2 linked regions of the Neurospora crassa OR74A genome follow. The protein of the gene in region 1 purifies or fractionates together with the protein of each later gene. This does not show direct contact. Links are inferred from orthologs where the notes say so. Each region holds a gene or a part of one and is shown on either strand. Other genes may lie near its edges.

Region 1 (4,566 bases):
AAGTAGCGTATATCTGGCAAGGTCTGGCTGGCTACCTGCCCAAGTCCCCGGGTCGCTTCCATGCTTGACTCTAGTGTACACTACTACACGGTAGACGCACCCCAGGGCAACTTACAAACCACAAGTGTTTTGAGAAGCGTGTCGATCACCTCGTTGCTGGGCCCAACCATCAGTCAGTTCCTCTGAACAGCCTCCTTCCTGCTTTGGTCAGTGAAGGCAGAGGAGCGGTCAGGTTGACCGTAGAAAAGCGTGGGCCGCAAGAGTGGCCGCCGTCGTGGCTGGCTTGGCAGGCCGGCTGGCTACTGTAGTAGCACGGATGGAGTGAAATTGAGACTGTCGCCGACGAGACGGGGCGTGGTGTGGGTGTCGTGGTGGATGGCCAGTGTTGTGAGTGGTGTCTGGTGTGCGGCAGTTGTTGTGTTGTGATCCAAGCAATGATGGAAATGTGGATTGACAAAAGAGGGACCAAACTAAACAGAGGAAGAGAAGCGAAGATGGAAGCTGGATTATAGGTCGAATCGGAAATCCGGAGACGCTGATCCGGAATCCAGGATTGGAAAGCACATCGTTAGATGGTCCCTTCCTGTGCTAGGTATTGTACTTCAATCCGCACTCTGCAATTTCGGAATAGTTCATCATCCCCGGTCCGTTCCTTCACCGCGGACCTTTCTGTGGGACATCGATGCCTGTCTGGACACCTACCTATGCTATGGTAGGAGATGGAGTGGAAAGAGCACAGCTGGTCACCCAGGTTGATAAATTAGTTCAGTTCCAGCTGTTGGGCAGCCCCACGGTGACAGTGTTCTCAGATGATTCCACGGCAACTAAAGAGTTCACTAAAATCCAGGGACATCGGCCGGCAGAAATTCTCGTGAAATTCCACGTTCGACCAGGTGGACAAGTTGCAGAAGTGGAAGCTTCTATCGCATTGCTGTCGTGCAGGAACCTTACTGGCCGTTGTTCCGTTGTCCTCTGGGCAGGCATTTGCCGGGCTATGATGTACCTACCTGGTTTACCTTATTACCTACCTACTTACTGTACCAATGCCCGTGCTTCGGTCGAGGGATGGCCGCCCCGGGGTGCCCCTGTGGCCTTGGCTGTCAGCAGCTGCCCTGGGCAATTCCACTTCGCGTTGTACCCCGCCATTTCTTGATATACTACTGTACGCAGTAGGTAGGTAGGTACTTTACCCAGCTCTACAATAGGTACCTCCCGTCTTGCCTGCCCAAAACCCAAAGCCCCACTACAAGTACGTAGAGGTACCTCTAGGTACAAGCAAACTGGTCGCTCCGGCCGCGTCCTTTCACTGCACGCTTTGTGCTGACGCCCCCCCTGCAGTCCACTGCAGTGGTTGATATCTAAGTAATGCACGCTGTGCCCGCCCTGGCACAAAACCACTTTCACAGAGTCGCGTCTCGAAGCGCGTCCGAAGCGCAGCGCTGGTTGGCCGCCCTTCCATGTCAATTAAAGGATCCTGGCCAACATCAACAAAGGAACACTCCTATCAACACCATCATCCCTCGCCCGAATTATTGTCGACCGCGACAACACTATCCGACTGACGTGCATCGCCATCACACCAGTATTTTTTTGCCATCGTATATTTCAAGCTACATAGTCCAGAGCAGAAAGCTCTTAACGCGGGGCAGGCCGCGTCGCGCATCCCCCGTCGGTTTTTTTTCTGCCCAGTGAACAGAGTTCGAAGTTAGTTACCTCGAGTAAACTACAACTGAAGTGTTCCACGCCGGCGAATATCCCACGACGACGTCGCCTCGCCGCCCCGCCTCGACAATCCGTCCCCAGCCGATTTCCCTCGCTGATCCACCCTCGATACCGATTCTCCCTTCGCAATGTATCTCCCTCGACAGCTTATATCAAAACTCTACCTCCACTTGCAAAATACCCGCCATCCACTATCGCCGCCCGTCCTCATCTTGGTCGCTCTCGAAACCGATGCGCTATGTGCCTGCCGTATCCTAACCCAACTTCTCAAACATGACTATATTCCGCACAAGATCCAGCCAGTCGCTGGCTACTCCGACCTCGAACGTGCCGGCACTGAGCTCGTCAGCCCCATGATGGAGACCCGTGGTGGTGCTGGAGGAGTCGTCGTATGCTTGGGAGTGGGTGGTATGGTTGACCTCGGCACAGTTTTGGGACTTGAGCCCGAGGGCGAAGAAAATACCTTTGGGGGTGTAGAGGTGTGGGTGATCGACTCCCATCGCCCGTGGAACTTGGGCAACGTTTTCGGCGGCTTTCCCCTCGAACCAGAGACGCAAGAGGCCAGGACATTCTCTGCGCGAACCCCCATTGGTGTCAATGGCGGCCGGATAGAGCGAGCATACAAACCAGGCAAAGGCGGCATCATTGTCATGGATGACGGCGACATTGAAGATGAGCTCTCCAAGGAACGAGATGCGTATCTGGCGCTAGTGGATATGCCCGAAATCGAAGATGATGGCCGAGACTTGGGCGACAGTGATGAAGACGAAAGCGAGAACGAGGAAGACACGGGCGATACATCGGTTGTTGCAGGCAGAAAGAGGAAATCATGGTCGGACTTCGACGAGGACGATGATGAAGACGACCGACCCAGACAGCGACGAAGAAGCAATTCGGTGAGTACATTCCGATTTCTTCATAGTAATACATCTCTCATGCCAGATACAGTCGAGTCCAATTCCAGATTCGCCTCGACGACCGCAACACCGTGGTCTCATATCTCTACGCGACGATGCCCTATTTTCCAGTGACGCGCTGGAAGCTCCGCCTGCTGCACAACCACCCAGAGGCCCTTCAGCCAACACCCTCCGACGGAGATTGCTACGACTACGACGAGAAAACGAGGGAGTTTTGCGCGAGTACTACCGACTGGGTACATCATATTCGGAGCCCATCTCGTCCATGATGTACTCCCTTGCGTCAGAACTGGGTCGTGAAGACAACGACCTGCTATGGTTAGCGATCGTTGGGGTCACGTCGATGGAGCTGTACGGCCGCTCATCTGCCGGTATTGCGGTAGCAGCTCGCAGGTCAGACGCCCGCATTTCCGGTTGGCTCGGCATGCGTGGTGCGAGAATACGGCAGCTTCTGCGAGACGAGGTCAGACGTCTCAACCCACCAGAGATAGGAAACGGCCGGGTGCTCCCCGAGACGACAGGAATTATCCCAACAACCGCTCGAAGTCCGGAGGATACCAGTATCAGGTTGTCGCCGGAGCCCAAGTTCCTGCTTATTAGGCACTGGAGTTTATACGACAGCATGCTTCACTCACCCTACCTCTTCTCTCGGCTAAAGACGTGGAGCGAGGCTGGCATGAAGCGATTACACAAGCTTCTCGCCAAGATGGGTGTCAGTCTGGTGCAGTGCAAGCAGAGTTATGCCCACATGGACATGATGTTGAAGCGCGAACTTCGCACCAAACTACTAAAATACGCGTCTCTCTACAACCTCGACGAACTTGTCCCGACCATAGACACGGACGGGAAAGATCGTGGAGGTGCCAAAGATGGATGGGGCTTTGTACGCAGTTGGGGTTGGAGGGCAACCCTGAGTGCGCAAGATGTCGGTGTCGTAGTCGGAGCCCTGTTGGAAGTGGGGAAGAACACCACTAGTGCTGATGACCTTCCTGCTGGCCCATCTCAGGATCTTCTCGACGTAGACAACAACCAGAGCCAAAGTGAGGAGTGGATCCCCAGGTTCTGGGAGGCGTATGATGCGCTGGAGGACATCGAGGCCCTTAAGGCTGGCCTTCCCACGGCGCAGTATCTACACAAGGCCATCTTCACCACTGGCACGACAATTTTGAAGAAGAAACAAATATCTCATCTGCGCGCATTTCGCATGTGCGTGGTCAAGGACTCACCAGATGCGACACTCTTCAACCACCCCGGCGCTTTGACCAAGCTAGCGCTCTGGATCGGTGAAGCACTCGCGGAACAGGAAAAAGAAGCCACTGGCGGGAGGCTCGCCCATGGCGGTCGTGGCACACCTCTCGTAGTGGCTAGTCTAGATGACAAGCGCGGAGTGTATGTTGTCGTCGGTACTGGTGGCGGCGGTGGGCCAGACACAAAGTTTCTCGATCGTGAATCGGCCAAGAAGCGAGCCGAAGAAAAAGAGGCCAAAGCTAAAGCCAAGGAGATGCAGAGAAGGATCAAGGAAAAGATCAAGGCCGAGAAGAAGGAGGCCAAGAGAAAGGAAAAAGAAGAGAAAAAGAAAGCCAAGTCCGACGCCGGCGGCGATGAGGACGAGGAGGAGGACAACGAGGAAGATAGTGACGACGACTCGGATCTCTCTGATACGGACTCGGACGACGATGATGAGTCGGACGAAGACGAGGACGAGCTCGATCAGGAACTTGAAAGGGGCTACGGCCTCAACAAATTCGGAACAGCGTTCCAAGACGTGGTGGCGGAGACTAATGCCAGAGTGCGCATCGACAGCTTTGAGCACTGCGTCGTGGAGGTCAAGAAGGAGGATCTTAGTGGCTTCTTGGAAAGTCTCAGCATGAAAGTCGTCATTGGGTGAAGGAAGGAAAAGTTTGGGTTTGCTAATTCTGGGGAAAAA
Region 2 (4,572 bases), on another chromosome or scaffold:
TTTTTCTTTTCTTTTTTTTTTCTCCCTCTCTATTCTCATCTTTATCCTGTTCACTTTCACTTTGAATCACGTTCTTCTTTTGGTTCTTTCTTCTCTCTCGGATCTTGTATCCCACCTCAGGCAGTAGTCGAGCTTCCACTTACATATACAAAACGGATCAGTCAGCGTTGAAATGCTTCGTCGCTCACATCCTTTCAGTCCTTCACTGTTTGATTAGGACATATGTCAGATCTCCCAGTAAATTGTTTGAAAATTTAGGACATTACTCATTGACGAATCGAACCCCAAGACGTACGTCTCCCCTTTATTTTGGACAACAGCATGAAGTGTAGCGACACATCAAACGGACCGCTCACCTATTGTACATCCGCTCTCACCACCCACATCCTTCAAACCCCAAACATCTCCTCTCAAGCTTTCTGCTTCTCTTTCGCCTCCTCCTCCTTGAACCTCGCAACCAACCTCTCCATCAAAAACGGACTTAGTCCCAAGCTGTAACCAATCCCAACAGTTAGCAACCACGTCAACCCACCTCACCTCACCTCACCAAAGTAAAAATACTCACATGCCCTGATTCGTAACAACCCGATAAGTCCCACTCCCCTGGAACGTCCCCTCGATCATCTTTCCCTGCCCATCCACCTCCACGCTCCCAAAGATATCCTCGGGCCACGCAATCCTTCCGAAATCCACTGGCGTCCTCTCATCACTCAAGTGCACCCATCCTCCCCTGCCCGCGCCTCCCGCGCCTCCCTCCGCTGACGCCCCGCCGGCGCCCGTGTCGCTGCCCTTTTTGCCTACCTTTCTCGAGCCAGGACGAGGAAGGAAGGAGAAACCGGCTGGGGAAGCAAAGGCTTGGGCTTGTGATTGAAGACCGGGGTCGGAGTAGGCGTGTTCGGCGAGGACGGAGTTGAGGATGGAAAGAAAGTGGGGGTTGGTGGTGAAGGACTGGGGAGTTGGGGGTAGGGCGGTGGTGGTGCCGATGGAGAGGGTGGGTGGGGGAGGGGTCGTGGGGAGGAGGGAGAGGATGTAGCTTTTTGGGTCGTTTGGGTGGGGAAAGACTTTCTGTGGTGATGGGTGTTAGTATGGTGTTTGAGTTGTTGTGTGGTGATGTGGTGAGGATGGGGGTTGTGGTGTAAGTGCGGGTGGGGTTGTTGGTGGAGAGGTGGATGGATGACTTGCAATGTTTGGGTTGGACGGCAAGGTCGTGAATGACCTGACTGCGCTTCGTAGCGTAGGAACTACACGAAATCTTGTAGTAAGCATCATGACTGGCTGTATTGAATCTGATATCGAGAATGAAAAGGTTGGTGATGGCGTCAAAAGTTAGTTGATGTCACTCTGGTGCTGTTCGTGCGTCTACTTGTAGCGTAGGTACCTGCTGTAGGTACCTCTCTAGCGCTGCCGGCGGCAACCAGGGTAGGTGGCCCTTGATGCCCCTGTTTCTGACATTGTGGAGCCCGTATTGGCTGAAATCTGGGGTGAGCCCCACTAGAACGCGTCTGGTCCCCTGCTTCGTTTCTCAATTTACGCGTCTTCCAGACAGTGACAATGACGGATATCACCACCACGAACAGACTGGTAGACGGCCAATTGTAACCGACTATACTAAATTGCAAGTTTAGTCGAGCTATCCAGACCACAGACACAATGATCGTTCAAAGTCCCCGCCAAAAGCGGACGAAAACCGGCCAGACAAACGCCCAAGACAGACCATCTCGACCGCAGCCACAAGCAGCAGCCGCCGCCGGCTTCTTTGCGCCCAAGACCCCAGCGGGCCCATCCAACCCGATACCCTCGTCCTCGCCCGCCTTCGCTACTCCAGTACATCCACTGAAGCCGTTCCAACCCCCAGTCCTCACAAAAGCCGCAATCCTGCCCATCATCCTTCCGCCGGCGACACTACGACCGCTCGCCTTCCGAACGTTTACCAAGAAACACAGCCTAACACTTACATCAACTGCCCTACAAGAGCTCGCAACCTTTATCGGTAGACACTGTGGCTCAGGATGGAGGGAAGAAGGCCTGGCCGAAAAGGTGCTAGAAGAGGTAGCAAGGAGTTGGAAGAACCGCAATGGCGGCGTCATCGTGGAAGGCAACAGCCCCGAGCTCAAGGACATTCTCAAGACCCTCGAGGGAAACATGAGCGGAGGAAAGATCCTGACCGGGCCACGAAGCTTGAGCAGACAAAACAGTCTCTTGCTAGAGCCCGACCAAGACGAACAACATGCGCATAGTCGACTCGGACTTCGGCCCGTGCCATCATTAACCCGGGAGGACAGCAACGCCAGCTTTGGCATGTCTGGGTTGGAGTTCACAGAAGAGCCGGAAGACGATTCGGTGAGAGATGTTAGGAGGTGGCTGAAGGTTATACATGCTTTCGATCAACCACGGTTGATGTATAATGTTGGAAAGAAGCATTTTGAGAGGTATGGTCCCTTATTATTTATTACCCTCTTTACATAGGTTACACAGCTAACCTTTGTAGGGATCCTTCCAAACCCTCCCTACTACCAGCCGCCTCTCACAAAACCGATGCCTTCCGCAACCGCTACAACGTTATTCATCAGCGCATCCTTCGCAACGAAGCCTTTCAATCCTCCTCCGTCCAAGGCTCCAGCTTGCGCCAACGAACCAACGCCAACGGCCTCTCCTCCCACAAGATTACCCCAATCGCCAACCTGCTCGGCCGCCATGGCAGCAACCACATGCTGCTGGGCATGCTTGTTGTCCTTCCCACTGGCTCTCTTGCCATCAGCGACCTGACGGGCACCATTACTCTCGACCTCTCTCACGCTGTCGCCATCCCTGAAGATTCTGCCTGGTTTACGCCGGGAATGATTGTTCTCATCGACGGCGTCTACGAAGAGGAGGAGGAAACCATGACCATGGGCAACGGTCTCAGTGGTAGCAGCGGTGTGGGCGGTACCATCGGCGGCCGGTTCCAAGGTTTCTTCATCGGCCAGCCACCATGCGAAAAGCGCCGCGTTACGCTCGGGGTTAGTGGGCCCGACGGCACCGGCGCTGATCATACCATTGGCGGCGGATTCGGCTGGATCGACTTCCTGGGCGTAGGTAGCGAGAGGGCAGTCGGGTCCAAAATGCGCAAGTTGGAGCACAGAATTCTTCGGCAACCAGCGCTGTTGGAGGATGGCAGGCCGTCGAGGGGTAGGGCAGTGATTATTGGCGAACTAAACCTAGATCAGCCGAGGAGTTTGCAGGCACTGAGAAAAATCTTGGGTCTCTATGCTAGTGATCCTGAAGGGTGTACACCCATGACGTTTGTGCTGGCGGGTAACTTCACGCAGCATGCTGTCATGGCGAGGGGCGGGAGTGGGGGGAGTATTGAGTACAAGGAGTTTTTCGATGCGTTGGCATCGACACTGGCGGATTTCCCTAGTCTGCTCACGACGGCTACCTTTGTTTTTGTGCCAGGTGACAACGACGGGTGGGTGTCTGCCTTCTCAGGTGGTGCGGCAACTCCTTTGCCGAGGAAACCCGTCCCAGATCTGTTTACTTCCCGCATCAGGAGGGTATTCGCAGCAGCGAATGCTGAAGCCGGGCTAGCCAACCCTGGCAAAGAAACAGAAAAGGATGCAGGCAAGAGGAGAGGCGGCGAAGCTGTCTGGACAACCAACCCAAGTAGGATAACCCTTTTCGGGCCTAGTCACGAAATGGTTCTTTTCCGAGATGACATCTCCGCCCGGTTACGACGAGCTTCTGTCCGTCTTAAGAACACGAGCAAAGCCTCCGTCGAGCCGGAACCCCCAACCAATGGTAACGACGACTCGGCAATGGATAACCAATGTCCACCCTCCTCCCTCCCCGACGCCCCCGATGCTGACGACGAAGACATGGCCGACACAACCATGACCGACGCCATGGATGTCGATTCTGCCCCTGCCCCTAACCAAAAGACTACCATGCCTCCTCCATCTTCCATACCCTACGACGTCCTCGCCGCCCGCAAGCTAGTGAAAACCATTCTCGACCAAGGCTATCTCGCTCCTTTCCGGCAAGCTATCCGCCCGGTACATTGGGACTATACTTCCGCCATGTACCTCTACCCGCTGCCGACGGCCATGGTACTGGTGGATACTACCGCTCCGCCGTTTTGCGTGACGTATGAGGGGTGCCACGTGATGAATCCGGGGAGCATATTAGTGCCGGGGAGGAAGGGGGCGGCACGGTGGGTTGAGTATGAGTTACCGGGAGTGGGAGGGACGGGGACGGGTGGAGGGAGGGTTAGGGAGTGTACATTCTGAGTTTTGCACATTTCGAGTGAAATGTTTGATTGTCTGGAGAAAAATCTGCCTTGAGCTTATTACGAGGCTGTGCTGGGAGATCTTGCTCTTGAATCGGTCTTGGGGCTGGGACTATTGGCTCTGTAAAGCTGATCGGGGAAAAGGGTAACTCGTATTGCTGGGCGGACGCTACGGTGGCAGGGCACAATCGAACCTCGAACACGGTGGGCATCTCAGGCGCCATCAATTTCTTTCCGTCGATTTCACGCCTCGCTCCCTGTTGTGCAGCACCTGCACGTCATGGCTGTACTCCCCTTTACAATGCATG

The links.
Region 2: the proteins of NCU04378 (region 1) and NCU10155 purify together in Saccharomyces cerevisiae (affinity purification with western blotting; 6 studies listed by BioGRID, with this or other methods). This does not show direct contact. The link is inferred for Neurospora crassa OR74A from reciprocal best matches to the Saccharomyces cerevisiae genes CDC45 and DPB2.

The regions. Positions count from the first base shown.
Region 1 is NC_026504.1:3,567,759-3,572,324, reverse strand, and holds the start of NCU04378 (DNA replication initiation factor Cdc45), read left to right. Parts: upstream 1-1,492; 5' UTR 1,493-1,850; coding exon 1,851-2,618; intron 2,619-2,670; coding exon 2,671-4,527; 3' UTR 4,528-4,566. UniProt on the Saccharomyces cerevisiae protein: Required for initiation of chromosomal DNA replication. Acts at the origin of replication. Also has a role in minichromosome maintenance.
Region 2 is NC_026505.1:1,592,193-1,596,764, forward strand, and holds the start of NCU10155 (DNA polymerase epsilon subunit B), read left to right. Parts: upstream 1-1,517; 5' UTR 1,518-1,650; coding exon 1,651-2,429; intron 2,430-2,488; coding exon 2,489-4,265; 3' UTR 4,266-4,572. Other genes in the region: NCU04588 (hypothetical protein), read right to left, coding at 411-492, 566-1,065, 1,183-1,269. UniProt on the Saccharomyces cerevisiae protein: As accessory component of the DNA polymerase epsilon complex participates in chromosomal DNA replication.